Linked DNA regions of Macaca mulatta. The protein of the gene in region 2 purifies or fractionates together with the protein of the main gene of each other region. This does not show direct contact. Links are inferred from orthologs where the notes say so. Each region holds a gene or a part of one and is shown on either strand. Other genes may lie near its edges. The genes, in order: CD46, CD81, IGSF8, ITGB1, GNB1 and PTGFRN.

Region 1 (4,889 bases), on a different chromosome or scaffold from region 2:
GGTGCTACATTTCCCTTTCACTTTCCAGCATGTTATGATGCAGCATGAAAGCCCTTGCCAGACACTACTGCCATCCCCTTGAACTTCCCAGCCTCCGGAAACATAGGCCAAATAAATTTCTTTTCTTTATAAATGCCTAGCCTTAAGTGTTCTGTTTTAGCAAGAGAAAATGGACAGAAAATTACATTTACTCTCTAAATGCACATTTATCTCAAATGTCTAGTATCTCCAATATATAAGACTTCAAAATCTCTACAGAACAAAGGCTATTACTGAGCGCTCAGTACCGGTTTTTGAGATGCTTCACATTGTAGCAGTCTCAAAAATAAGGTTTTTCAACTGAGAGATTTTGATGAACATGATGGTAAAGGCTAACCAGGTCAGTTTTGGTCTGGTCTGGTAACACTTAACAGAGTCATCTGGATACAAGCGTATCTGTAGTTGGCAATTCTATTTCTCATTTTTGTGAGCCCTACTTAAACTCTAACAGTTGGCGGATTTAAATAGGGGACACTCAGTTGTGAAGGATAAATTCTCATGATTACTACATTCTTAATGCTTACAACAGACTTATTGTCAGAAATAACAAGGAGTTTTGCTTTCCTTCAGTATCAATTATTTTCTACTTACTTTAATATCTTGCCTATCTCCATAAAACATCCAAGAGTTGTTTGGCTAGAAGTATAACTTGCCACATAGAAAGCAAAATTAAGTTTACAGGAAAGCTTAAGAAGAGAAGCAAAACAAAAATAAAATTACTAACATTTCCCTTATTTCCTCTAAGGAGCAACTTACCCCTCGTTACAAATAAAGTGTAACTCAGCACCAAACTCGTAAGACCCATTTGCAAGGATTGCTTCACCATTTAAAGGATCCCGTATATGTGGACACATTTCTCCTAAAAGAAAATAATTTTGACGGTTTTCAATCCAGTTATAAAACAGATCTGAATCAGAATCAAAATTCTGCAGTGCTCTTTTGAATGCATGGGAATATTATTTTCTTTATTTACTTATTATAAGGGCAAATTTCAGTTTCATGTTCACCTAGGCAATCTACTGCCAGGAAAAAGATTTCTTGGAGATTTTGATTTCTCAAAGCCTGCAATAATGCATTGCTATCTTAAACCTCATTCCACAAGAAGAAAATCATTATCACCATAGTGGAATATGTACCCCAAAATGTGTGCAAATCTCTAGAGCAAGCAGGAAAAAAAAAAAGGAAGGAGGGAAGAAAGGAAGGAAGGAAGGAAGGAATCTCTAGAGCAAGCAGAAAAAAAAAAAAGGGGGCTCGTTTACTTACTATAACAGCCCTCATCTGAGACAGGTAGCCATGTATGATTCCGATCACAAATAGTATGGGTGGCAAGAGGAGGTATATAGAAGTATCCTTTTTTACACTTATAATCTACTCGTTCCCCAACCCTATAGTAGGGTTTTGGTTTACCAATGAGCTCCATAGCTTCAAATGTTGGTGGCGCCTCACAGGCATCTAGGGATAAGAGAATAGGAACATGAAGATGAAGTACTGATAGCACTTTAACGAGCCATGACTGTGGTCTGGCAGCAAGTAGTACAGAAAAAACAGAAAGGCCCTTGGCAAGATTTTAAATGATTGTTCCATGCTTTTACCTGAGTGCTGGTAGTAGTGGAGGAAATGGGACTTGCATGTTTTAAGTAACAATCCTATTAGCTTTTGGTTTCTTTGGGAATAAGCATTCACCAATAAACTGAAGAGACAGCATTAATGTCTTTGGTCTTAAAAAATATACAGACGCATCTTTCCCCACATTTTTCTAAATGCATTTCAAAAGTAACTTCTCCTCTAAGAAGTCTTCTACAGTATAGAGCACTCTGCTCAGGTTGTTCTTCCATAGTTTAAAACACTAACTTATAATAGCTTGTCGCTTCAGGCTATCTTCTCTTAAAAGGCATGTTCCTGGGGTTCAAGGAACATGTTCTTCTTTTTCTACTAGACTCCACCCACCTCGTGGGTGCTCAAGAAATGCTGACACTAGGCCGGGCGCGGTGGCTCAAGCCTGTAATCCCAGCACTTTGGGAGGCCGAGACGGGCGGATCACGAGGTCAGGAGATCGAGACCATCCTGGCTGACACGGTGAAACCCCGTCTCTACTAAAAAATACAAAAACTTAGCCGGGCGAGGTGGCGGGCGCCTGTAGTCCCAGCTACTCGGGAGGCTGAGGCAGGAGAATGGCGTAAAAAACCCGGGAGGCGGAGCTTGCAGTGAGCTGAGATCCGGCCACTACACTCCAGCCTGGGCGACAGAGCTAGACTCCGTCTCAAAAAAAAAAAAAAAAAAAAAAAAAAAAAAAAAAAAGAAATGCTGACACTGACAAACTCTATCTGCCAATAAGTATTCAATAAATTGTCTGCTACTGTGCCTGGGGAGATCAAACAACCCTAGTTTGGATTCATGTTGTGCTAAGTCAAACAAAAGGCTCAAGCTGCCCTAAAAGGGCAGATAATAACGTGAAAGTCTGAGTTTATGATGATGAGTGTTTATTCCTGATAAGCCTGTTGCTTTTCAGAATTACTTGCCCTGTGATTTAATCCTTTTCCTTATTTCTTGCCTCTTTTGCCCTACTCTGCCACACTGAGTAGTTTGGCAGTCCAGTAGTGTCACATCCTGGTGCTGTTGCTCACCTTGCTCCCTCTGCTCTGAATACCCTTCCTCCCTGGCCAGTAGCTACAACTCCTGCTCAACTCTTATCTTCCTTAATCCACCCATCATCTCCTCCAGGAAGCATTTTCTGCCTCTCCCTGGGAAGTTGTGATCAGTCACCTTCCCCTGGACTCTCCCCTGCATGGATCTCTCAGGTAATTATCACATGCTTTTGTGTTTAATAGTTAACATGGCCAACTCCATTCATCCATGCAGCCACAACACGCAGCACAATATGTCACTCATAGTAGCCATCCACAAAAAAATTGGTACTCAAAGTCCACTGCTGTCAAACACAAAACAATGTGAATAATATATTGTAACCAATTTCATATTGAAAACAATCATTCTACAGCACAGTGGAGAAAGAAGATTAGGCCATTTCTCGTGCTGCCTATCTCCCAGTCTTCTGGTATCCTGGCAGGTGACCGGATATGGACTGCTCTCTTTGCATGGTAGTATGCCGAGTAAGCAACTGAGAAGCTACTGTGTAAGCACTTACTGATCTTGGCTTCTTTCATCGGAAATAAGGAAAACACCTAAAATAGGCAGAAGAGACCACACACAACAGGAGATTGGGGATTTTGTCCAAAAAAGCAGTTCCTCTACTGGAGGAATGAATGAGACTGGCCTGAACTTTGATACATTGTTTCCTTCAGCTATCTGGAACCATTTGGCAATTACTTTTGAGAGGGCAGGTCTCCCATGCACAGCACTGTCTGCTTACAAAATCTTCTCCTTGTGAGACTGAGTTGCTCCAAAAATTGAATGTTTATTTTAATCCATGTATTCTCTCTGCCTAACATCGTGAGTTCTCATTTTTACTTTCTCTAGGTTTCATACCTGTCTTGATTTATGCTTATGAACCTCAAACTTAACCTTGTTTTTCCTTCTCTTCATTCTTAGTTTTATCTTCCATGTTGCACCCTATTCATTTTATTTTTGTATGTTCCTCTATTTCAAATCGCATTCATCATCTTCTTCAACTTCCTGTTTTGTTTTGTGTGTGTTTGTGTTTTGTTTTGTTTGGTTTGAGACATGGTCTCTCACTCTGTCACCAAAGCTGGAGTACAATCAGGGCTCACTACAGCCTTGACCACGGGCGCTCCAGTGATCCTCCCCCCTCAGCGTCACAAGTAGCTGGGACCACAGGCGTGCAACATCACACCTGGCTAATTTTTTTTTTAAATTTTCTGTATAAGTGGGCAAATTTTTTGTATAGGTGGGCTCTCCTTATGTTGCTCAGGCCGCACTTCTAGCACTAAGCCTATTCTAAGCATTAATCGTAAAAGACAAAAAGAAAAAGTCCTCTCGTTTTCTTATCACCACTGCTCCCTACTCCCATCACCCTCCTTCAAAATGAACGTTTTAATGATCAGTGAGATGCAAGACTGAAGTACCGGAAGCTCTGCAAAGTTAACACAAACAGGGGAGACAGATCCTTTCTGGCCCTCAGCTGCCCCTGCCCTAGCTTTTTAGGTACCACAGAAAGACCATCCTGAGCAGAGCTCTTTAAACAACCTTCCTCTTGGAGGCAGGAGGAGCTTTTTCCTAGGCTCTAATCCCCAGCCGAATAGTATATTTAATTTTCTGGTATTTAACAGATATGGAGGCAAACAAATGGGGCTTTTGGAACCACAAGTATTGACAACACAGGCAGGATCCCTGCATTCTAACAGGGAGAGACAAAGAACAGAAAAGGTCATTTTAAAAGGGTGATTACAAGTGAAGAGGGACTTGAACCGGGTTGTATGTTCAACCTGAGATGGGGGACGTTGTGGGGGCGGGGACGTTGTGGGGGCGGGGACGTTGTGGGGGCGGGGACGTTGTGGGGGCGGGGACGTTGTGGGGGCGGGGACGCTGTGGGGGCGGGGACGTTGTGGGGGCGGGGACGTTGTGGGGGCGGGGACGTTGTGGGGGCGGGGACGTTGTGGGGGCGCGTTCAGAGAAGGTCTCCTAGGGCATAACCTTCCAGCTGACTTTGCAGAAGAGCAAGCCTGTTTCTGCAGCAGGTCAGGAGGAGAGTGTTCCCAGGCTGAGGGAACAGCAAGCACAGATGCCCCAAAGTCTGTTTGATGAGCAGAAAAGCCTTCCCTCCCTCGAGACATCTGTTAAATGCTGTCAGATTTATATCTGAAAATTATACGCCTTTCCTCCAGAGAACTTCCCTTGGTTCATAATTTATTTGTTACTATTAAGTTTTGGTT
Region 2 (4,004 bases):
AAAGAGAACACAGAGAATCCTCCCAGAAAGGGCCCTTGCTACCTGGAGTTACTCCCTGGTTTAAACCCAAAGTAAAATTCTAAGCAACCCCAACCAACCGAATGGACACCTCTTGGCCAAACGCATTCTAAAGTAAACCTGAAAAGCTAGTTCAGGCCATGATGACCGTGGGTGGCCCAATGTGCCTCATTATACCCTCTTCCAGTGGGAATTCAGGCACTGCTGACCAGCATTCACATTAAAACAGACACCTTAGGCCGGTGTGGTGGCTCACACCTATAATCCCAGCACTTGGTCTATCACCTGAGTTCGGGTGTTCAGGAGTTCGAGACTAGCCTGGCCAACATGGCGCAACCCTGTCTCTACTAAAAATACAAAATTGGCTGGGTGTGGTGGTGCATTCCTGTGGTCCCACCTACTCGGGAGGCTGAGGCAGGAGAATCGCTTGAACCTGGGAGGTGGAGGTTGCCGTGAGCCGAGATCACGCCACTGCACTCCAGCCTGGGCGACAAGAGCGAAACTCTTGCCTAAAAATAAACAGAGACCTTAAGACTCACAAAACAGACTCTGTATCAATAAGATACCAACGTGACAGCAGGCCCTGAAAGAAATCAAAGTATTTTACCCCAAAATATATTTCTCTGATGTATTTTGAAATGGCCCTGCAAAGCTGTCTCTTGGGAAAATCTACATTCAATAGAGAATCCCCCTCCCTTTCAGGGTCTATTTCCTGATCCAGGAGATAATTAACTAAGATTCTGGCACCTTTTTAAGTCTGATAAGAAACATTTACAATCCGGAGGCTTCATCTGCATAAGAAGAATCTTGGTCTTCACAACTCCTTCTCTTAACCCAGACAGTCCATTCTATTGATTTCAGGTCTTTAGATAAACTCAACCAATTGTTAATCAGAACATCTTTTAATCCGCCTATGACCTGAAAGTCCCTCCCCTTCAAATCATCCTACCTTTCTGACTAAACCAACATACATCTTAGATGTATTGATCGATGTCTTATGTCCCTAAAATGTATAAATTCAAGTAGCCAGACCACCTTGGGCACCAGTTCTCAGGGCCTCCCGGGGCTGTGTCACAGGCCACAGGTGCTCTTATTTGGCTCAGAATAAATAACTCCGCAAATTTTACAGAGTGACTCCTTTTGTGAACACCAGGGATCCCAACCCACCCCCTCACCCTGGAGCCCACACAGTCCACAGAGCCGAGCCCCACCCGTGCCGGACTCCCCCACCCTCTGGCCAACCCCTAGGTCTCAGACGCCACTGGCACTGAGGGGCTGGACAGGCCTGGTAGCATGCCTGACGTTCCTTCTTTATTAAATGACGGATTCAGGATGTTGTGATTACAGTTGGAGGTGACTGTTAGAAAGGACAGGTGCATGAAGGCAGAGAGTGCCCATAGACTCGGCTCTCGAACCGGGGCAGGAGGGAACAAGGTGAGCTGTGCAGCCCACAGGACGGGCGGGCTGGGTGGACACAGGCCCCCAGGTCGGCCAAGCTGAGTCTCTGGGCGAGTGGCTCCCAGGAGAGGCCTGGCTGAGCAGGCAGAACTCCCTGGGACCCCAGGGGCAGAAGGACCCCTGCCCTCCAGTCCCCAAGGCCCAGGCCCGTCTCCACTCACACACGCCACCTACATGTGACGTCAGCCCTGAAAAGGTAACAGGAAAGTTCAGAACAAAAACAAAACCTCAAAAGTAAAAAGGCTACGTATAGCAGAGTAATACCGGAAACGTTATATACACAGGCGGTGATGGCCCCCTCAGAAGTGTCCGGGTCACTTTGGGGGCACTGCAGAGGTCCCTGCGGCCAGAGCTGCGGGGCCTCAGTACACGGAGCTGTTCCGGATGCCACAGCACAGCACCATGCTCAGGATCATCTCGAAGATCTGCGGGAGGGTGGTGGGGCGCTCGGTCAGCATAGGGCCCTGAGGAAGGGGCAGCCCAGAGAACAGGCCCTCCGCCCCCGCCCACTCACCATGATCACGGCGACCACGATGGCAGCAATGCCGATGAGGTACAGCTTCCCGGAGAAGAGCTCATCGATCTTCTGGTGGCAGTCCTTCTGCAGGGTGGCCAGGCGCGTGTGGTCAGGGACCGGGCCTCAGCTCCCGGCTCCCTGTTGTCACTCAGTAATCCGTGGTCACCACAGAAAGTGCAGAGGGGAATCCTGGAAACAGCCCCCACCCCCCACCCACCTCGGACCAGGTGGGTGCAGCGGCCCGGCCTCTGCCAGCTTTCTATTTTCCACCCTTTTTAACATAAACGCGAAATACCTGGGACACACTGTGCCCTTTTCCCCTGAGATCACGATCATTGGTGTCACTAGACCCCTACAGCATCACTGATGTGCACCCACTGACGACTTCCACTGAGGCCTCAGCAGGCAACTTCCACAGGGCACTATACGGCCTGCAGGCCCTGCCAGCCACAGGCTGTCAGGGGCATCCACACCCACAAGTGCACACGCGGAGCTGGGGGTGCAGGTGAGTTCCGCCCCCCCAGAGCCTCCACCTTCTTCACCCGGCATGCGCAGCGCAGGGCGCCTGCCTTCCTCGTGGGCCAGATGCAGTCCCACCCCTACCCTCCCAGCAGGGCAGCCCTGGCAGGGGCCACGCCACCCAGCGTGGTCGCTCCCCGTGGGGCTGCCGTGTGACCTGCCGACTCCACCCAGGGGCTGGGCGGCGCGAGGGGATCAGGCGCGGCCCCGGCGGCCTCGCACACCTTGAGGAGGTTGCTGATGATGTTGCTGCCCGAGGGACACAGATTGTTCTTGAGCACTGAGGTGGTCAGAGCGGCCAGCGTGCTGGAGCCACAGCAGTCGAGCTGCACAGAGCGGGGGTGCGAGGTCAGCCCTGGACGTGCCCGGGGGATGGCGGCTCTGGGGAACCCACGGGGAGGCGGCCAAGGGTACGCAGCGCTCCCCACTGCAGAACGCATCCAGGGGCCGGCCTTCTTCCTCCTCAGCTGCGCTGCTCAGAGCTTTCCACACCCTGGGCCAGCCTGGCCCACTAGGTTCCCACCCGAGGACCGGTTGAGCCCAGGGGTCCTGGAGGTCCCAAGGGCACCCCTCCTGCTCCTGAGGTCTGGGCGGAGGCAGGATTTGTTCAGGATGAGACACTCCCCAGCCGGGTTCCCGCAGCCCTGCTCCCCGCCCTCGCCCCCGCGGGCCGCACCGTCTCGTGGAAGGTCTTGACCACGGCCTTGGCGTTGTTGGCGTCGTCATCCACCACGGCCTGCTGTAGGGCCTGGTCATAGAACTGCTTCACATCCTTGGCGATCTGGGGGAGCGATGCGGTCACATGCACGGGGGGGCCTCCCCCACCTTGCCCCCACCCCACCCCGCCCCAGGCAGACGCACTTTTCCCAGGCTCTCCCTGGGCAGGGTGGCTTCAAGGCCAGACCCCAGAGAACAAGGACTCTGCACTCTCAGCTGCCCAGGGGGTGTTGGGACACGGGAGCTTGGCCTTGTGCTTAGCCCCAATGCTGCCTCCTCCATAAAGCCCCTGGAGATCCTCCTAGCACGGGGGACCCAGGAGGAGCCCAAAGAGCTCCCACAAACTATGGGTCAGCCCAACCCCCACCCACGACAGGAGGAGGGTGCCCCCCTCACCCACCCCACCCGCGACAGGAGAGGAGGGTGCCCCCCAACCCGCCCCACCCGCGACAGGGGAGGAGGGTGCCCCCCCCACCCGCCCCACCCGCGACGGGAGGAGGGTGCCCCCCACCCGCCCCACCCGTGACAGGGGAGGAGGGTGCCCCCCTCACCCGCCCCACCCGCGACAGGAGAGGAGGGTGCCCCCCTCACCCGCCCCACCCGTGACAGGGGAGGAGGGTGCCCCCCAACCCGCCCCACCCGCGACAGGGGAGGAGGGTGCCCCCCCCACCCGCCCCACCCGCGACGGGAGGAGGGTGCCCCCCACCCGCCCCACCCGCGACAGGGGAGGAGGGTGCCCCCCTCACCCGCCCCACCCGCGACAGGGGAGGAGGGT
Region 3 (5,489 bases), on a different chromosome or scaffold from region 2:
GCCTATACAGGAACCACTCGAAGTTCTGCTGGGCAGGTCCCTCGTAGCCGGTCACGTTGCAGGAGATGGAGACAGCTGTTCCAGTCACGCGGTACAAGGGCCCCTCGGGGACCAGCACCTCCCGGGCCCAGCATCCCATTCCTGTAGGGAAAGGCAGAAGAAGTTGGAGATGCCTGATTCCCCATTCCATGCCCTCTGCCACCACAAGCACCATTCTTGATCTCTGCCTACAAAAGGAAAGGACACCTGGGGAAGATGGTCCACAGCTTGGACCCTGTTCTGAGAATAGGAAAGGGATGCTGTGATATAAGACACCTGGATCTCAAGAAGGTGGCACGGGCCCAGGATTGCCTTGGCACCTAGATGCATCCCATTTCTGGTGGACTAGAAGCAGAGCGCCTGAAGGCAGAAAGGAGTACATCTGATTCCTGACCTAACCAGGCTTTGGTTCCAGCTAAACCTTGATCTGTCCCTGCCACTCACCCACCTCCATGTCTGCCATTCCTTCCTCAGTGCCTGGCCAGGGGAGCCTTCTGGCTGGGGGATGCTGAGACTACATGTCCCTCCCCTTTGCTTGAGGGGAGCTGGCAGTCTTGCTCAGAAGTGCTAGTTGGCTCAGCTGTGTCACCTGGACCAGACAATGGAGCCAGTGACCCTAGCTGGAAAGGGCACAGGCCCAGTCAGTTCTCACCACACAATGCCCTCCCCCCTCCAGCTGCGCAATGAGCTCACTGCTTCTCTCACCCCACAGGGCTGCCCAGGCAGCTGGGGCTTCTGGGGCAAGGTCCAGGCTCTGCTCTCGCCATTGGGGCAGAAGATCCCCTCCTCCAGTGCCTGCCAACCTTCCTGGCTAGCCCAGCAGACACACAAGGCGCCTGCCCCAGTTCCTTAACAAAGCCTTCATTTGCATATGGTATGCATTCATTTACATATATGGCTTTCTTTCTGTAGGGAGGCATTAAATCCCAAGCTGCCCCTTCTCATCTCTCTCCCTTCAGAAAGGTCAAACCTCTCTTCTTCACCCTACTCCACCCCTATGCCCAACTCTACCCCAGCAGATACTCCTGGCAGACTTAGAGGGCTTAGCTCCTCCCTTCTCTCCTTCCATAGCTCCCACTAGATAAAATCGCAGAACCTCAGAATGTAAAGAGGGCTAGGCTACCCCTCCCCCCCTCCCCATTTTACAGATGAGAAAGGTAAGGCAGGAAAAGTATAATATCTTAGCCAAGATCATGCTGTCCCTAGATGGCTTCCACACCCTCCTCCAGAGGGGCAAAACCAGGGAGGAAAATGGGGAAACTCCAAGGCCAGGCCTGAAGGGACTGACCTCACCAACCAGAGTGTCACTTTTAGGCCTCCCAGGGGGATACCATGGACTTTCTGCAGAAGCTAGAGGAAAATGCCCAGGAGTCTGTGGTCAAACTCTACCCTCCAGCTTCTCTAGAATGGCTCCTCTGAACTTCCCCACCCCTGCTGCTGGGCTCCTAGCCCCTTCCTTTATCCTCTGGCTGAGTCACAGGGAGAACTCATGGTCTGTTGTTAAGGGCACAGGCTGTCAATCAGGAAGTGAGATTCCAGCACCATCCCCATGCCCAGCTGTGTGGCATGGGATCCAGTCTCTTTCTGTCCTAGGCCTCGGTTTCCACACTGGAGGAGAACTAAGAGCTCCAGCTCTGACCATGCATGAGTGCGTATGTGACTCAGGAGAGCCCTGCCCCAGGCCAGGCAAGTTTCATAATCAGGGTGATGGTGGAGACGGCCAAGCTGACACCTTCCCTGACTGCCTCGGGGCAGACTGCTCAGAAGGCCCCCTCCCATCTTCCTGGCTCCACAACTGCTGATGCTTGGAGATCCCCATGGGAAAGTTACCTCCACAGCCTTAGGAAATCAGTTGCCACACAGCTCTCTCTCACCTCCTCTGTATTAGTTGCAGCGAGGAAAGGGAGAGCAAAGAGGCCTGCTTTGGAATCAGATCTGTGTTCAAATCCTAGCCCTAATACTCACTAAATGTGCTCTCTGGGGCAAGTTACTTCAATTTCCTCACTTGTGAAATGAATGTAAGTGCCCACAGGCAGTGGGTGCTCAGACGTCTGCGTGCTCCTTTTTCAACCACAGGCCAGCACTTCCCCACCTCCCTGGGCTCCTCCCTGCTCCATGCTGCCCGCTGGGGAAAACACAGCAAGTGCTAGGCAACCCAGGTCCCACAGAGCCTTCCTCTCTGTACATCCTCCTGCCACCTGCCCAGGGACCAAGGAGAGGACTCATCCTAGCCCTGCAGGGCCCAGGGACCTGCAGCAGGGGAAGGCTTTGCTTGGTGCCACTGTGGAGCCCTGGTCTAGAAACAGGCAGCTGGGGCTACCTTCAGCCTCTGCCTTGACAACAGCAGCTCTGAAGTCACCATCCCCACCTCCACGCTTCACTCTCATTTCAAGGGCTTCAGCCTCATCAACATCTGTACTGGCAGTTTCACTTCTCCACGCCATACTCTTCCCCAGACCACCTCCTACAGGCAGCCTTCCAGTTCAGGCCAAAAACAATTCCACTGTCATTACCCCCAGGCATCCATGCAAGATTAGCCCAGAACAACCCACCATGAACACCCACCACAGCAGGCACAAGGTGCTTTGAGATCCCAGGATCAGTCTCCATGGAACCTGGTTTCTCCTGAGGCAAGGAAGCTGGAACTAAGCGGGTGTGAAAACTGATGGGTGGCTGCAGAGCCAAGTGCCATTTGGGAGAGAGGAAGAAGGGCAAAGAGGGACCCAACCTGGGATGGAGATGGGGGTGAGAGAGAGAACTGCCCCCAGTTGATGAAGTGTGTGGAGCGCAATTGGGAGAGACTTACTTCAAAGATCGTGGGCAGAACTGGCCTCTGGGCCTCCAGCCAACTCTAGGGCAATTATGAAGCTGGGCAGGCACTGCCCACGCAGGGCGGGCACCCAAGGCCAGGCCTGGAGCTGAGTGTGGGGCAGAAAGGAGTCGCAGCATTTGGTGCAGCGACCCCAGGACGTGGGTATGCTAGCTGAGAAGTGGGGCCTGCCCCAGGAGGCCAAGCAGTGCCTGGGGCAGCACTTTAGTGGGTCCTCCCTGTGCCCCACTCCCTGACTTAGAGCTGGGGAGCCTGCACTCTTCCCAAGACTGGCTCGGCGGGCAGCCACAAAGCGCAGCTGGCCGCCGACCCCGGGGAGGCTGGAGGTACCCCTGACGGAGGAGGATGTGAGGAGCCCCGAAATGCTCGGGAGGTGCTGGGTGGCAGGCACCTGCCCGGCGGGGCCGGGAACCGGAACGGGGGCCTGACTTACCTAGTATTAGCAGCAGCAGCAGCAGCGGCGGCGACGGCGGCAGCAGCGTGGGCCTGAGGGCGCCCATCCTGCGCGGCCAGCTCTGGGGAGGCTCCGGGGGATGGCGCGGGTTCTGGGGGACCGGTGGGGTGGGGGGCGCATGCCCAGGTGGGGGGCAGGAAGCTGGGCAGCGAGGCGTGGGTGCGCCGAGCGAGCTGAGCTGGAGCTGCCGAATCCCCTCCCTCCGCCCCTCCCCCCGCCCCTCCCCTTGCTTTCCCTCCAGCCCTCGGCAGTTCTGAGACCATTCTAGCCCCAGCCCGCCCCGGCACCGCCCCTTCCTCCGCCCCGTCTAAGCCCGCCCCGCCCCGGACCCAGCCCTGGCCCGGCCCGCCCCACCCCGCCAGACTCAGTTCTTCGCTCCGCACTTGGCTCCGGCCCCGCCCTGACCCTCGAAACTCACCTTTGCTTCGCACCGAGTCCCAGCCCCGCCCCGGTCCCGCCCCTCCCCGCCCCTCCCCGCCCCTCCCCGCCCCTCCCCGTCCCGTCCCGTCCCGCAAGACTCCAGCCCTGGCTCCGCCCCGGGTCTCGGCCCAGCCCCAGTTCCGGCCCCTCCCTCGCCCCGCCCCACCAGGACTACAGTAGGACTACAATCTTGGCTCCGCCCCGGGACCCGGCCCCGCCCCAGTCCCAAGCCCCACCCCTTCCCAGTCCCCCCAGGGCTAACGTCAGCCTCCAAACCTGACTCCGCCATGGACCCCGGTCTCGCCCCGCCCCTGGCCCTGGCTCCGCCCGAGGCCCCGGCAAGAGTGAGCTAATTGCACCTCGGCGCATCGAAATTCCCACCCACCCTCGTACAGAGCGCACCCCACCCCGCACCTGCCAGCCTTTCCTGGAGAATTGGGTGCAGGGGCCCTGGGATTGGCTGTGGCCACGCATTTAGAATTCAGTTATTTTCTCTGAGCCATAGTCCTCGCTGCAAACCCTGTTGAAGTAGGGGTTGGCAGAACCCAGGAGTTCCTAAAGGCGAAGGGTTTGAGCTGAAGGGCGCTTCCAGGATCCACAAGGTCACTGGAGACCTGTTTTTCACCCCCTCAGAGGGCAAAACCAAAAGAAAAATGGATTGGGAGAGGCGGCCGTCCATGTGACGTCATTTCTGGGTTGGGTGATCCTAGCCCAGTTGTTTAACCTCCTTCAACTTCAGTTTTCTCCTCTGCAAATTGAATTGAGGTTGATCACACCACCCAAAGGGGATGATAGGTAATGTACATAAAGTGTTTGGCACAGGAAACTAACACGAAATGGGAGATAACGAAGGATTATTTTGTTTTAGTTTTTGAATTATTATTTGAACTGCTTCCTAAGAGGCTTAATTTAGACCTAGTTTAGACCTGGCGTTTAGGTGAAGGAGTGTCTATGTTCAGTGACAGTGGGAAGAGATGAACATTGTTCTGGGAAGAGTGGGGCTTGCCCTGGAGGTGGGAGAATGGAGGAGGCACCCTTCCCAGGTGTTCTGTCTCTTCCTGAACTGTAAAGATGGGGAGTGGGGAAGGGCAGGAAGGATGAGACCAAAATGGGGAGAAGAGATGGCCAGGTTTGCAAAGCCAAGGCTGTCAGAGTGGCTGTCAGTGGGAGGTGATCCCAGAGCCCATTTACCACCCTCTACCCTCCAACACCCTCCCTCTCCCCTCTTCCCTCCCACTCACTCACCCCCCCTTTACAGAAGAGGAAACTGAGGCCCAGAGAGGGTAAGTGGCACAGGCCAGACCAGACCTTCCTTGACATTGTATTCCTCAAGCGTGGCAGAGTGCCTGACTCTGAGAAGACGCTCATGGGGTTGCCAGTAGAAGCCACATTGAGGAACCCTGGAGAAGCCAGAGAAACTGAGGCCAAATGTTTGGGGCCTTGAAGGGAGGTCAGAGGTCCAGCCCTCACCTCCCAGGACTGCCAGCACTGGCCCATGAACAGGGTAGTAGGGTGCCTTTTATTCCCACTTTGAAATATCCACAGCCTGGTTGCTCCGGAGCCTCATCATCTAAATCCATCCACAGGCATACTGAGCTATGTGAAAACTGAAACGCATAGGGAAGCTTTTGGATGAACACGTCTTTCCCTTTATAATGGATTTAATCATCGAGTGGATTGAATGCCTTCATGATGCTTGAGGGATGAAAGACGTTACCAATTGTAATAATGACATGTCATTTATGA
Region 4 (4,889 bases), on a different chromosome or scaffold from region 2:
ATGAAATTCTGGGTTGAAAGTTCTTTTCTTTAAGTGTGTTGAATATTAGCCCCCACTCTCTTCTGGCTTGTAGAGTTTCTTCCGAGAGATCCGCTGTTAGTCTGATGGGCTTCCCTTTGTGGGTAACCCAACCTTTCTCTCTGGCTGCCCTTAACATTTTTTCCTTCATTTCAACTTTGATGAATGTGAAAATTGTGTGTCTTCAAGTTGCTCTTCTCGAGTATCTTTGTGGCATTCTCTGTATTTCCTGAATTTGAATGTTGGCCTGCTTTGCTGGGTTGGGGAAGTTCTCCTGGATAATGTCCTGAAGAGTGTTTTCCAACTTGGTTCCATTCTCCCCAACACTCTCAGGTACACCAATGAGACATAGATTTGTCTTTTTACATAGTCCCATATTTTTTGGAGGCTTTGTTCCTTTCTTTTTACTCTTTTTTCCTCTAAATTTCTCGCTTCATTTCATTCATTTGATCTTGAATCAATGATACCCTTTCTTCCACTTGGTCAAATCGGCTACTGATGGTTGTGCATGTGTCACGTAATTCTTGTGCCATGGTTTTCAGCTCCATCGGGTCATTTAAGGTCTTCTCTATGCTGTTTATTCTGGTTAGCCATTCGTCTAATCTTTTTTCAAAGTTTTTAGCGTCTTTGCGATGAGTTCAAACATCCTCCTTTAGCCCGGAGAAGTTTGTTATTACCGATCATTTGTAGTCTTCTCTCAGCTTGTCAAAATCATTCTCCGTCCAGGTTTGTTGCGTTGCTGTTGAGGAGCTGTGTCCCTTTGGAGGAGAAGAGGTGTTTGATTTTAGAATTTTCAGCGTTTCTGCTCTGGTTTCTCCCCATCTTTGTGGTTTTATCTACTGTGGGTGTCTTTGATGATGGTGACGTACAAATGGGGTTGTGGTGTGGTTGTCCTTTTTGTTTGTTAGTTTTCCTTCTAACAGTCGGGACCCTCAGCTGCAGATGATGGTGACATACAAATGAGGTTTTGGTGTGGATGTCCTCTCTGTTTGTTAGTTTTCCTTCTTTGTTAGTTTTCCTTCTAACAGTCAGGACCCTCAGCTGCAGGTCTGTTGGAGTTTGCGGGAAGTCCACTCCAGATCCTGTTTGCCTGGGTGTCACCCGTGGAGGCTGCAGAACAGCAAATATTGCAGAACGGAAAATGTTGCTGCCTGATCCTTCCTCTGGAAGCTTCATCTCAGAGGGGCACCTGGCTGTATGAGGTGTCAGTCGGTCAGATGTCTCCCAGTTAGGCTACTTGGGGATCAGGGACCCACTTGAGCTGGCAGTCTGTCCGTTCTCAGATCTCAAGCTCCATGCTGGGAGAACCACTATTCTCTTCAAAGCTGTCAGACAGGGACGTTTAAGTTTGCAGAAGTTTCTGCTCCCTTTTGTTCAGCTCTGCCCTGCCTCCAGAGGTGGAGTATACAGAGGCAGGCAGGCTTCTTTGAGCCACGTTCAAGCTTCCCGGCCGCTTTCTTTGCCTAGTCAAGCCTCAGCAATGGTGGACGCCCCTCCCCCAGCCTCACTGCCGCCTTGCAGTTCGATCTCACTGCTGTGCTAGCAGTGAGTGAGGCTCCGTGGGCGTGGGACCCTCCAAGCCAGGCGCGGGATATAATCTCCTAGTGTGCCATTTGCTAAGATTATTGGAAAAGCGCAGTATTAGGGTGGGAGTGTCCTGATTTTCCAGGTACTGTCACAGCTTCCCTTGGCTAGGAAAGGGAATTCCCCAACCCCTTGCACTTCCCTGGTGAGGCGACGCCCTACCCTCGTTCGACTCACAGTCTGTGGGCTGCACCCACTGTCCGACAAGCCCCAATGAGATGAACCCAGTACCTCAGTTGGAAATGCAGAAATCACCTATCTTCTGCATTGCTCATGCTGGGAGCTGTAGACTGGAGCTCTTCCTATTCGGCCATCTTGGAACCTCTTAAATTATTTTTGTTTTGTGTGATTGCAATTTTGGAATGTTTCTTCAGGTGCAACGAAGGGCGTGTTGGTAGACATTGTGAATGCAGCACAGATGAAGTTAACAGTGAAGACATGGACGCTTACTGCAGAAAAGAAAACAGTTCAGAAATCTGCAGTAACAATGGAGAGTGCGTTTGTGGACAGTGTGTTTGTAGGAAGAGGGATAATACAAATGAAATTTATTCTGGCAAATTCTGCGAGTGTGATAATTTCAACTGTGATAGATCCAATGGCTTAATTTGTGGAGGTAAGTAAAGGACCTGAAGTGCTTGTAAGACGTGATCTCATCTAATGCCACAAAAAATCTAGAGTTTACTTGGTGCATAAGTAGAAGAGGGGTAGCTCGAGGGTCAGTTCTGCCCCAGGTATACTTTCTCACACGTTGTTGCTTATTTTACTTTTCAGTCAATACTGTGATTGTATGTTTTTACCATTAGTTTGAGAAATGATATGCTTAATTGCAGGAAATGGTGTTTGCAAGTGTCGTGTGTGTGAGTGCAACCCCAACTACACTGGCAGTGCATGTGACTGTTCTTTGGATACTAGTACTTGCGAAGCCAGCAACGGACAGATCTGTAATGGCCGGGGCATCTGCGAATGTGGTGTCTGTAAGTGTACAGATCCGAAGTTCCAAGGGCAAACATGTGAGATGTGTCAGACCTGCCTTGGTGTCTGTGCTGAGCATAAGTAAGTATTTCCTAATTGCTTGAAATAGTTGATACTTCCTCTTGGCTCTCCAAAGCCTGTGTTGTTACTAGAACCGGAACAGTGCCAGTATTAGAATATACTATAAATAAAATGCCTGCCACGTGGAAGCCTACTCTTTAATTCCTAAAAATTTTTTCTCAACAGCTAGTATGTATTACATGGTATGAAGTGTGTCATGTGAGAGTTGTACTATTATTTTGATCTGAATGTGGTAGATAATTGAATTTACATGGTAACCTTTATTTTGGCAATTAAGATTTAATTTAGTTTGTCATTACCAATTTCTTAATTACTATCTTTTGACAAAACTAAGCCAAATTAAAGATTTTTCCTCTTGAAGGATTATTATACTAGTAACATATTTAAATTATTTAAATATTATGATTTTGGCCGAGGACAGTGGCTCACACCTATAATCCCAGCACTTTGGAAGGCCGAGGCAGGTGGATCACTTAAGGTCAGGAGTTTGAGACCAGTCTGGCCAATGTGGTGAAACCCCATCTCTACTAAAAATACAAAACTTAGCCAGATATGGTGGTGTGTGCCTATAATCTCAGCTACTTGGGAGGCTGAGGCATGAGAATTGCTTGAACCCGGGAGGCAGAGGTTATAGTGAGCCAAGGTTGTGCACTGCCTGGACGACAGAGCAAGACTCCATGGCAAAAAAAAATTATTATGATTTTATGTTACATATTTAATACGTGATAGGGCTAATTTATTTTACTATCTTTTATTAATAGTGTTTTAATTTGAACTGTAATCTTTTATTATGGAAATTAGCATCTTTTTACATAATTTTTCTATCCACAAATGTAATGCATCTCTTCATTTATTCAGATCCTCCTTCATAGCTGTTTGTTCAATTTGGTCACAAGAGTTTAGCATGGGAAATATGTTTAAGCAAATATTTATTGAAATAATAAAATTTAAATATAATAATATGGTTTTTTTTTAACAGAGAATGTGTTCAGTGCAGAGCCTTCAATAAAGGAGAAAAGAAAGACACATGCGCACAAGAATGTTCCTATTTTAACATTACCAAGGTAGAAAGTCGGGACAAATTACCCCAGCCAGTCCAACCTGATCCTGTGTCCCATTGTAAGGAGAAGGATGTTGACGACTGTTGGTTCTATTTTACATATTCAGTGAATGGGAACAATGAGGTCATGGTTCATGTTGTGGAGAATCCAGGTAGAAATGCGATGATTGCAAACATTCTTTTCATATCTTGTATGTCTTGTTTCTGCTTATTTAGGCCTAACATCCAGAAACAGTCTCCAGCTGGAATATTTTAGGTCAAGTTGGGAAATTTTTCATCTTTCAAAGCTTAAGATATTACCTAATTAACTGTATAAGAAATAAGGAAAACAGAGTTCCACTTTTAAGTTTTCTAAGTGGAGAGTTTGAAGATTAAATGCAGTGATTTATATAAGACACTTAGAACGATGCCTGACACCAAGTGCGTAGTAAGAGTTTTTTTTTTATGATTGATGATTTTAAAATTAGAGCTTGATTTAAGTTTGAATACTAGGAAAGATAATTTGTTAAAGGATATTAATGTAAAGTGTTGATTTTGTTCAACTTCTCTGAAGGTGAAACTTTTTTTTTTTTTTAATCTTAGTTTTCCTGGTAGCCTTTTTGTAGATTCTTTAGAATTTTCTACCTTAGTGTATATGTTTTTGTGTAAACATAAGCTTTCATTTCTCTTGGGTAAATAGTAAAAATGGCATTTTGGAGCATATGGTAAGCATATGTTTAACTTTGTAAGAAGCTGCCAGGTTCTTAGAGTCCTGTAGTGTTTTGAATTATCATCTAGGTGTTTTGCAAATATTGTCTCCCAGCCTGTGCCTCCTTATCGTTTCATTTTTTTAAGTGTCTTTTGAACACCACAGGTTTTAATTTTGATTAAGTACAGTTTACCAAGTTTTTCTTTTGTGGCTCTTATTTTTACATTGTCTTTCAGAACTCTGCCTAACCCAAGATTTTAAGGATTTTTCTCCTGTGTTTTTTTCTAGAAGTTTTATAGTTTCTGGGGTTTCACATTTAGATCTGTAACTCATCTTTAGTTATTCTTAGTGTGTGACAAAAGGCTCAGTTTTTTTCATATCAGTGTCCACTTGTTCTAGGGGCATTTGTTGAAAAAAGACTGTCCTTTCTCCACCTTTGTTGGAAATCAGGTGACCTTACATGTGTAGGCCTGTTTCTGACTCTAT
Region 5 (4,269 bases), on a different chromosome or scaffold from region 2:
CCAGGATGGTCTCGATCTCCTGACCTCGTGATCCTCCCGTCTCAGCCTCCCAAAGTGCTGGGATTACAGGCTTGAGCCACCGCGCCCGGCCAAGGCCCAGCTAATTTTGTATTGCCTATTTAAGATTTTAAAAAATCACCAGTTTGGAAAGCAGGGAAGTGGATGGTTCCAGAACCTAGGAGCAGCTATTTGGGACACGTGCAGCCGTGGTTTTCCACTCTACCGTGGTCAGTGTTCTTATTTTTTCTTACGAGATGCAGTTTTGATTCAGACCAAGAGGAACACTCGGTTCAGTCCCAAGGAAAGCGAGTCTCTGGAGTCACATCCTCAGACATTCTGAGGGAGGGAAACGGCAGAGGAGAAAGGCAAGGCAGCCGCCTGTGAAGACTCCCACGGTGCTGTGGGCAAGGCCTATGCACGGGGAGGGGTCTGGGGGATGGCAGGTGGACCTCCCTGCTCCGCTGGCCTGTGAGGTGGAGCTTCCCAGGAACCCCTCCGAGGAGCCAATGCGCCACTCATGGATTCTGTGACGTGCTGGTGGCCAAGGCACTGCCTGGCATGACCACACCTGTCAGACCTTACAGCAGCAGGGTAAGCCTAGGGAGGTGGGCGTGTCGTAAACTGAAAATGGACCCGTAAATAATCACCACACCAAAGTCCCTCATGTCAAACTGCTTTATTACATCTTAAATAACAGTACAGTTTAATATAGTATCTATCTTGCATCCAGCTTCCTTGCAGTACACTGACTTTAAAATTAAATACAAAAGGTGGAAAGGGGTAAGGGTGCAGAGAGCTCTACAGAGTTGTTGGACGGAAAGAGAAAGAAGGGGTTTCATTTGTATTCTCTTTGCCAGATCCAGGCCTACCGCAAGGTCACAGCACAGTTTTGTATAGAATGTTGCAGAAAACAGGATGGAGAAGCCACTACTGCTGCTATGAAGGAGTGCGGGGGGCGGGGCGGGGGGGGGGGGTCCCACAGAACCTGCTTTCCAAACGCTGCTGCTGAACACTGGCCTTGAAATGAACACCAGGACAATCTGTGTGATGGGAATGAGCCGCCTCAGAGGCGGAGGCCCTGAAGAATCCATAAGGGAGGGCAGGCTCTTCCCTCCCCCTCCCTCCCTCCCTCCCTCCCTCCCCACCCTCAGAATCCAACAGCAGTCGTTTGCAACAGAACTTTTTTTTTCAAAGAAATAAAGAAAACAGTGACTTATCCCGCTACCCAAGCGTGTAGAGCCGCGCGCTGTACTGCTTCCGATATGTGCCACAGAGCAGCAACGAGAAGTGGACAGAGCCGCAATGGTTACAACTGTAAGAGGTTATTTCTTAAAGAAAAAGAACACCTAAGGACTGAGTCCTATATGCACTTTTGAGCATTTCTACAGCATGCGATTCTAAGAGTAAACCCACCCAATATGGCAAACAATCAAAATTTTTAAAATTTAACTTAGAAAGTCTGAGATCATTATTTTCAAAACATTGATTTGTACATTGTTTCATACACAAATAATTGACTGACTATCCAAGCACAGGACAGGCATCTCTCTTGAAAACAGAGGTTCCTCCTAGTTGGGGGTGGGGTAGTGTTAGGCTATTATAAACTTCCCTCCAACTTCACAAGGAAACCCAAAGTGAGATTAAAAACTCAACTGAGAAGATAGACAGGATGGGTCAGGAGGAACATGGTGCTGGATCTGAGCTCACTTTTCAGCAAAGGTGAAGGATTCTCTGATCACGCATTCGAGACCGTCCCCACATGTGCTTGGCCCCATGGCTTCTGAACATGTTCTTTTCTATGCCATGTTTGTGTGCAACAATGATCTGTGACACTAGACAGAAAATTAAAAATCAGGGACTGAATTTACATCACTGACAACGCCAGAGAGGCTGCCCTAGACTCTCTGGTTTTGATTAACTGTTGAACACAAAGGAATATATTTTAAAAAGGAAATATGAATGCTTCCAAAATCTTGCTACAAACATGACTGAAATTTGGACACGATGACCAGATGAACAAAGCCCTCAGCGTGTTTTGCGTGAATGCCACAAAACAGGGTCACTGGTCTAAAATTCAAATAAACTAGTGGAAAGGTGTGTCTGTCTCACAATTACACTCAAGTTTACCTTCTGGTTAACATTTTTATTATATATTTCCTTTTAAAATTCATTCAAGACAAAAAAGAAAACAAAGACGATGGCCCCGGAAGGAATGCACAATTTGTTTTAGTTTTACAGCACAGAGATCCTTCTCTTACTGGGAATTGTGCTCTTGGTTTCAGCAATAAGTGAAGGAAAAAAGATCTTGCCCTTTTGAAGTTCTGAGGGGAGGTGTAGGGTGTCCACGTTAGTACGGTTGGATAGGATATGCTCTCATGGTAACGCGTCCAAGTTGGAATGGTCTTCCAGTCTCCATGGCATCCACATGCTGTTTTAAACAGAGTTTAAAGAAATGTGAAAAGAGGCAGAGAATCTAAGTGCAGACGCATAGTCAGGTCACTGCTCTTCCCACCACTGCATGAGTGTCTGCGGCTGAGGGCATGTGACTTCAGATTTCTGTAAACGTTTCCCACAACACAATTCCAAATCAGTGCTACATCAACATTTATCTAGAAACCGTTAATGACAACTTCACACGTTCTATGAGAAACACGCACAGTTCTCCTCAGAGAAGGACATTTGGGCTGCTGCATTACCTACTGGCGTTAGTTCCAGATCTTGAGGAAGCTATCCCAGGACCCTGTCGCCACAGCCATGCCATCATCAGTCACGCCCAGGCAGCTGACGCGGTTGTCATGCCCAGCCAAGACACCTGGAAGCAAACAACAGCAGAATCACAGAGGTATCGATCTCACCTGTGACCTGTGTGCCATGTTGTGACGAGGGCGGATGGTGAGCCCCTCGTGGGACAAGACCCAGAGTCTCCCACGGCCAGGAAGGGAGGGAAAGTTGTGTCCACGTGGGAATTAAACTGCAGCATATGGCCAGCCTTATTAAAATTCAAAGGCACGCACACACACACAATCAATAAATCCAGAACCCCCGGCACTGACTTCTCAGCACTCACAAAACTCAAAAAATAAGCAAAGGCCACAATCAAAAAAATCAAAACCATCATCACGTTCGGTGGCTCAGGCCTGCAATCCCAGCACCTTGGAAGGCCAAGGCGGGCAGATCACGAGGTAAGGAGTTTGAGACCAGCCTGGCCAATATGGTGAAACCCCGTTTGTACTAAAAATACAAAAATTAGTAGGACGTGGTGGTGCGGGCCTATAGTCCCAGCTACTCGGGAGGCTGGGGTAGGAGAATCATTTGAACCCGGGAGGCAGAGGTTGCAGTGAGTTGAGATCGTGCCAGTGCTCTCCAGCCTGGGCGACAGAGCGAGACTCCATCTCAAAAAAAAAAAAAAAAGAAAAATCAAAACCACCCCAATCTCAAAGCAACTGTAACACAGAAGCTTAGAGGCATGAGCTGTTTTTCCTTCGTCTGTGATCCCTAGAGCCCAGCACAAGGCACAGAACACAGGAGTAGCGATGGTGGCTGAGACCACTGGCACTGTCACTGTCACATGGTGAGGGGGGCCTTCTGTCAACACTCAATAACCTTCGATTGGATCATCACCAGCCAGAAGCTCCACTTCCTCCCAGGGGGATCTGAAGGCCCATTTCAGCCACCCTCCCCCACCTCCTGCAGACACCACACAGCTGAGCATAGGGGCCAGTGTGTGCTCTGCCAAGGCCTGGGCTGGCTTCCACCGCCTTTCAACAGCACTATGACTGTGGGACTTGGCCGGAAATGGCTCCACTTTGGTCCCCCCAGGCTGGGGAGAAAAACAAGGGTGTTTAACCAGGACATGAGAATGGCACCCATCCGGAAGCAGGAAGCCCCGGTAAGGGCCAAGACCTGGAGCCATGCTCCCTTCTTCTGTCCTCCCAGGTACTGAGACGAATGAATCTAAGAGTCTGTAAGTGTCAACAGTTCTCAAATTGAAATGCCCAAATGTCTACTTTTAGTAAGGAAGCCTCATCTTTTGTACATCTAGTGTTTTAATACACCTGGCAATAACATGCTTGCCTTTGATATGTTAACTGTAACAGCACCCAGAGGTGTCCCTGCATGGCGCTCTGCTCCCCTGATGCAGAGTTCAGAGGGGAAAACATGGGACTGGGCCCTGGAGCCTGCACAGCTGACCCTCTCCTGCCCACTGACCCTCCCCAAAGCCCTCCCCCGCACATGTGGGAAGATCTGCTGGTGCTCTTCGGAGTCCAC
Region 6 (5,526 bases), on a different chromosome or scaffold from region 2:
TTGGTTTCCACGTCAGGTATTTCATTCAGGCCTGTGGTTAGCTATTTTATTCTCTGTCCACTCACACCCACCAGCCGCTCAGGCAGATGCTGTGTCTTGGTCATTTGTCTGGGACTCCCAGTATTGAACACACGGTTGCACACAGAGTGGCACTCTCTCTGTGAATGTGGCACATTTCTTGAGTGGCCACTCAAGAAATGCCACACTGAGTGGACGGGCAAGACAGATCAGACACAGGCAATGGATGTGAAACCTGCCCTATGTGGCTGGGTGGGTTCTGGTGGGATCATGGTAGGTGGGTTTAGAAAGGCTTCATGGAGAAAGTGAGTTTTAGGGGAAAAAGGAAATACTAATACACAGGCAAGAGGTGAGAAGTAGAAGGGGCCGGAAAGTTTAATATAGTCTACATAAAGGAGAGCAAACAGGTTAGATAGAACAAAGTGTGTCAGCCAGAGAAGACTGGAGGGGAGGACACTAGGGGCAACATCTCCTTGGAGGAAAGTCATAAGGACCCAGTGAGAACAGGTGGGAGCCCCAAAAATGATCATTTAGGAAAAGGATGAGCTTAAAAGGGAGGCTGGAGGAAATAACCAACCACGAAGACACCAATTGTGTGGGAAACAATTGGGACCTGGGCTAAGACAGTAGCCGTAGAAACAGGAAGGAAAGGAAGAAGCTGGAGTCTGTGCTATGGGGAGACGCAAGAATTGAGAGACTATGTGAATGTGGAGGTCAAAAAGAGCAGTGATACCAAGATTATACTCAGGTTACTCCCTAGGAGAAAAGATGATCTTGCTTATCAATGTATTACATTTCAGGGATCAGTACAGTGCTAGAGTAGTGTAACACAGGGAGACCTTCCCAGAGGTCAGGCTGAAGTCACGCCAAGTGAGATTCTGTGGCAGCAGAGTTATCAGGAGGGTCATCAATGGTTCAGAGAACTGTCAGGTAAAAAGGCACCGGCTAGTGACACCACAGAAATTCCCAGTGTAATTCATAGGAGGCATCCAGCCAGGACAGGATATGCTGGAGTACAATCAAGATTTCCCCAAGCTGTGCTTTCCCCACTTCTATTTTGCTTTTGTCAGTCTCTCTTTGCCCCCTTCCCTCTTCCCCCCTCATTATGATTACTCAAGGGCATTGTTTTCAAAGTTTTCAAAGTTCTACCTCATCCCACCCTCATAACTGGTACCCAGGTTGTTCAAAGAACTGCACAACTCTAGGGGGAGTCATTCACACAGACTACAAAGTGAACAGCAGCTCCCGAAGTTGCACAGTGCACAATCTGTGCAAACCCAGGCCACGGCCCTGCTTGACCTAGACACACACAGTCAATAAAAATTGTGTGTGGACTATAACAGCAGTGCACCACTAACATACAACTTACAAGGGTCCCGCAGTGAAAAGTAAAGATTAAAAGCACTACCACCGGGTGTGGTGGAGCATGCCTGTAATCCCAGCACTTCAGGAGGCTCAGGTGGGAGAGTCAATTGAGCCCAGGAGTTTGAGGCTTCAGTGAGCTATGGTTGTGCTACTGAACTCCAGACTGGGTGACAGAGTGAGGCTTTGTTTCAAAAATAAAAACAAAGCACTAGGATCAGGGACTATAGAAAAGATGCCATAAAACTAAGTGGAAGATCTGGAAGCTTTCTGCACATGGGCTGAAGCTGAAGCAATGTGGCTGGACGAGCTCTCTGAGGGAGTCAGTTCAGAAAATCTCTTCAAGGTGAAGGAAGAAAACAGAAGCTAGCAAGGCTGGTTTACCAGCAGCAGGAGTCACGGGGCTTAGAGCAGTGTGGGCCCCCGGTGTCCCCAGTAGGGGAGTGGCTATAGAAGGCCTTCTCTGGGACCCTCCGACCATAAGTGCAGAGTAGTCATTTGCCCTGTGTGCAGCTGGGACCTGGATGGGACGGACACCGCACACCATGCGCTCTGTAAAAGACTCAGATCTGCCTTCTCTAGGGGCTTGGAAGAGAACCCCAGGCCGGGTCATAAGAATCATCTTGTCCTGGTTGACACTGACCACAAAGATCCAAGAATATCAAAGCATTTAAGAGTCGGCCCTGGGGTACCATGGTGGGCACTTAATAAACATATTTCCGTGGCTGGCTAGGATCACCATGTGGATCTACGTGAAGATGGTGTCTGTGTATGGAGTGAATGGAAAATGGAGAGGGAAAAAACCCACAAAAGATTCCTTGGGTGGGGGGAGGGCGCTGGGCCAAAACCTCACGGGGCACCGAGGGTTTCCGGAGGGTGGAAGATGAGGGGACAGTAAGGGAGGAAAAGTAACAGGTAGAAAAAGTTGGAGAAGCCAGGCTCTTAGGTCTTTGTGTATAAATACGCAGCTAGGCAGCTTCAAGAAAAGCTAAAAGAAAAGACTGAGACAGACAATCTAGCCACGACGAAAATGACGGCAGGACTCGCCCGCCGATTTCCATTGTAACGCTCCGGGCCACCCTGTGACCTTCGTGGAAGGAAGTTGGAGGATTCTCTCGCTTCCCTGGAAAGGCAACTCCGCGCGGGCTGGGCGAAGAGAGACCCGGCCGGCGGCGGCTATGGCGGGGCATATCAAAGGCTCACATTTCCGCTCTCGAGCGGGGGACCCGGGCCGGGACCGCAGCACCTTCCGGGCCGGGAGTTCAAGGTGAGCCGGGCTCCCGGCGGCCAACAGGTAGGGAGGGCTGGGGAAAGCCGGCCCGGGCCACTCCCCCCGGCACATGTTGGGGGCGAGGCTCGGCCTGGCGGAGCCGCCACTTGCACCCTGCGCGCGGGGCCCGGGCTGATTCGCGCCAGGCTCCGGGCGGCCCCGCGGCCGCTCCCCGCCGGGCCAAGCAGCCCGCGCACCCCGGCCGGGTTTCCCGGGAGCAGCCCGGGCACCCTCAGTGACCCAGGCCGCGCGCTGCAGCCGCGCCCCGCCGAGCCCTCCAGGGCCCTGCCAGACCCCCTGCGCCCAGCTGAGCCCCGCGCACACTCACCCAGCGACAGGAGCGCCAGCAGCAGCGGCCTCGGCGCCAGGCGCCCCATGCTCGCCCGGCGGGAGCGACTCTCCCCCTCCTCCTCCTTCCCCGCCGCCTCTCCTCCTCCTCCTCCTCCAGCTCCGGCTGCTCCAGAGTCGGCGCTCCTCCGCCTGGGCCGCGCGCCTGCTCCGCTCTCCTCGCGAGCCGATAAATCCCAGCGCTGGGGCGTACGTGCGCCCCTGGCTCCGCTCGCTCCCTCCCGCCTCCTTCCCTCCCTCCTCCAGCCGGCCGGGCCCGGGAGCCGGCCCCGCCGATCCGAGTGTGCAGCCCCGACCGCTTCCCGAAAGCAGAAGGGAAGAACCGCAGCGCCCGCCCGCCCGCGCCTCCCATCCGGCGCTTTGCCAGCAACAAACACAAACTTTCCCAAGCCCCTCCCCGCTCCAGGTAACGGAGGAAGCGCAGGGGCCACCCGCTTAAAGGCGAGGAGGCGTCGGAGCCCACCCTGCCTTCCCCTCTAGGCCCCCACCCCACGAGAAACTTTCCTCCGACCTTTAAAAGTTGGCCTGGGAAAGACTCGTCTGGAAATCCCTTCGCTTTAGCCCTATCCCGGGACACCCCGCGTTCCATCACGCTGGAGTCACCCACGCGTGTCTAGTCTATCCTCAATCAACTGCCCGCTCGTTCGGCCTCGCGTCCTGAGCTAAACACCCCAGCAACCAGCCGCTTGGCCTATGCCAAAAATTACGCAGATGGGAGCGAAGGAGCTGAAAGGACTTTTGAAGGCCACGGATTCCAACGTCTACCATACAGAGGCCTTAAGTGTTTCGGTGAGGTGCCCAAGGATTCACAGGGAAGGGGCAAAATCAGAACCCCGCTGTCCTGACTGCCCACTCCCCGGTGATTTGGGTGGGCCTGCCTCCTCCTTACCCAGCACCCTCCCTCTCCTCAGCGCCTGTGGCACTGATTAGAACAGCTCCACACAAAGACACCCATTTAAAAAACAAACGAAACCCAAGTGTATTAATAGCTATAGTACTTCATATAGAATGTACTGTTAAGACTTCATATTTCTTGCTCTAAGTGGACACCACTGGTTGCCAATAAAGACTCATACTTCCCCCCACAATAGAGTTTTGTGCTTTTGATTTGAATACAAAAGGCCCCACGGGTATTGGGAGAAACGGAGCATTCCTTGCTTGAAACTTAGCAAGCATGATTCAGACACGCAAGGAGCAGGACTGGTGCCCACTGCCCCTCACTGGGCTTTCATTCACATGTGGAAAACGGATCACAGATGCTTATGCGGAAACTGCCCACACTCACACAGGGGAAGAACATTACTTTTACTCTCATGCATCCGTGTTTCAACCAACAAATGTTTCTTATTTCCACTATCAAATGTGTGATTAGCCAGGTATGAACCCTTTGGAAAGAGTCTTAAAAATTCATTCCTGGTGGTGCAACGTTATTGTACTTAATGGCACTGAATGGTACACTTAGAAATGTTTAAAATTGCTAGGCATGGTAACTGGTGCCTGTAATGCTAGCTACTCAGAAGACTGAAGTTGGGGGCGGGGGCGGGGGTAGAGGGAGGCCGGGAGCGGGGGCAAGGATGGTGTTGCTTGAAACCAGGAGTTTTTATTTGTTTTGTCTTTTTTCTTTATTTCATTTTTGAGACAGGATCTCGATCTGTCACCCAGGCTGAAGTGCAGTGCTGCGATCAGGAATCACTGCCGCCTTGACATCCCAGGCTCAAGCAATCCTCCCACCTCCACCTCTCAATAGCTGGGACCACATATGTGTGCCACCACACTCTAGCTAATTGTTTCTATTTTTTTGTAGACACTGGAGTCTCCCTATGTTGGCCAGGCGGGTCTTGAACTCCTGGGCTCAAGCGATTTTCCTGCCTCAGCCTCCCAAAGGACTAGGATTACAGGTCTGAGCCACTGGGCCAAAACTTTTTCTTGTTTTTCTTTTTTCTTTGTTTTTGAGGCTAGAAGTTTGAGACCACTTGGGCAACATTGTGAGACACTGTCTCTAAAAAAAAAGTTGTAATTTTAAAATGGTAAATTTTGTGTTATGTACATTTTATACAATAATTTTTTTTTAAATTTTTTTCTGCCACCAAGCCTTTCCTGGTTCTGTTCATACACACTGTAATTCCTTTATCTTCCCCATCCCAATTCTTCCCTAGAATTTTTCAGGGAAGTTTTCCAATTTCATTCAATCAACCTTGAATGCAAGCCTAATGTTAGGCCTTGGAAGATAGTGGAGCTTCAGAGAAATGTGAGGCCTGGCACCTTCAGCAGCTCAGATTTCAGCTCATCCTTCATCTTTCCTTTTCTTAACCACCTAGAAAACTTAATGTCTGAACCATACATTGTGGCACTTGGTCACATTCATTTTAGCGAAACATATACACTGCCCCCATCTCTGTCTAATAATGCATGGGCCTAAGAAGCTGTCACATTTTCACCTTGTATCCCACCTTATGGCAGAGTAGATGTTTTAAAAACTCTTTTGTTTAATAAACAATGCGTGACAGGGACTGTGCCTAGCACATGGT

The links.
Region 1: the proteins of CD81 (region 2) and CD46 purify together in Homo sapiens (co-immunoprecipitation; 3 studies listed by BioGRID and IntAct, with this or other methods). This does not show direct contact. The link is inferred for Macaca mulatta from reciprocal best matches to the Homo sapiens genes CD81 and CD46.
Region 3: the proteins of CD81 (region 2) and IGSF8 purify together in Homo sapiens (co-immunoprecipitation; 3 studies listed by BioGRID and IntAct, with this or other methods). This does not show direct contact. The link is inferred for Macaca mulatta from reciprocal best matches to the Homo sapiens genes CD81 and IGSF8.
Region 4: the proteins of CD81 (region 2) and ITGB1 purify together in Homo sapiens (affinity purification with western blotting; 4 studies listed by BioGRID and IntAct, with this or other methods). This does not show direct contact. The link is inferred for Macaca mulatta from reciprocal best matches to the Homo sapiens genes CD81 and ITGB1.
Region 5: the proteins of CD81 (region 2) and GNB1 purify together in Homo sapiens (co-immunoprecipitation; 4 studies listed by BioGRID and IntAct, with this or other methods). This does not show direct contact. The link is inferred for Macaca mulatta from reciprocal best matches to the Homo sapiens genes CD81 and GNB1.
Region 6: the proteins of CD81 (region 2) and PTGFRN purify together in Homo sapiens (co-immunoprecipitation; 7 studies listed by BioGRID and IntAct, with this or other methods). This does not show direct contact. The link is inferred for Macaca mulatta from reciprocal best matches to the Homo sapiens genes CD81 and PTGFRN.

What each region holds. Positions count from the first base shown.
Region 1 is NC_133406.1:65,500,015-65,504,903, reverse strand, and holds part of CD46 (membrane cofactor protein), read right to left. Parts: intron 2,344-4,889; exon of another isoform or gene 2,284-2,343; intron 1,528-2,283; exon of another isoform or gene 1,492-1,527; coding exon 1,303-1,491; intron 899-1,302; coding exon 796-898; intron 1-795. UniProt on the Homo sapiens protein: Acts as a cofactor for complement factor I, a serine protease which protects autologous cells against complement-mediated injury by cleaving C3b and C4b deposited on host tissue.
Region 2 is NC_133419.1:2,302,662-2,306,665, reverse strand, and holds the end of CD81 (CD81 antigen), read right to left. Parts: intron 3,294-4,004; coding exon 3,189-3,293; intron 2,839-3,188; coding exon 2,737-2,838; intron 2,078-2,736; coding exon 1,991-2,077; intron 1,902-1,990; coding exon 1,839-1,901; 3' UTR 1,282-1,838; downstream 1-1,281. UniProt on the Homo sapiens protein: Structural component of specialized membrane microdomains known as tetraspanin-enriched microdomains (TERMs), which act as platforms for receptor clustering and signaling.
Region 3 is NC_133406.1:106,785,698-106,791,186, reverse strand, and holds the start of IGSF8 (immunoglobulin superfamily member 8), read right to left. Parts: upstream 3,517-5,489; 5' UTR 3,370-3,516; coding exon 3,236-3,369; exon of another isoform or gene 3,207-3,235; intron 2,958-3,206; exon of another isoform or gene 2,846-2,957; intron 2,788-2,845; exon of another isoform or gene 2,605-2,787; intron 174-2,604; coding exon 1-173. UniProt on the Homo sapiens protein: Member of the immunoglobulin superfamily (IgSF) that links tetraspanin-enriched microdomains to the actin cytoskeleton and plays several important roles in innate and adaptive immunity.
Region 4 is NC_133414.1:34,295,871-34,300,759, reverse strand, and holds part of ITGB1 (integrin beta-1), read left to right. Parts: intron 1-1,976; coding exon 1,977-2,215; intron 2,216-2,432; coding exon 2,433-2,655; intron 2,656-3,634; coding exon 3,635-3,867; exon of another isoform or gene 3,868-4,135; intron 4,136-4,889.
Region 5 is NC_133406.1:238,918,359-238,922,627, reverse strand, and holds the end of GNB1 (guanine nucleotide-binding protein G(I)/G(S)/G(T) subunit beta-1), read right to left. Parts: intron 2,813-4,269; coding exon 2,706-2,812; 3' UTR 2,697-2,705; intron 2,429-2,696; 3' UTR 1,182-2,428; downstream 1-1,181. UniProt on the Homo sapiens protein: Guanine nucleotide-binding proteins (G proteins) are involved as a modulator or transducer in various transmembrane signaling systems.
Region 6 is NC_133406.1:123,368,980-123,374,505, forward strand, and holds the start of PTGFRN (prostaglandin F2 receptor negative regulator), read right to left. Parts: upstream 3,319-5,526; 5' UTR 3,028-3,318; coding exon 2,979-3,027; intron 2,648-2,978; exon of another isoform or gene 1-2,647. UniProt on the Homo sapiens protein: Inhibits the binding of prostaglandin F2-alpha (PGF2-alpha) to its specific FP receptor, by decreasing the receptor number rather than the affinity constant. Functional coupling with the prostaglandin F2-alpha receptor seems to occur.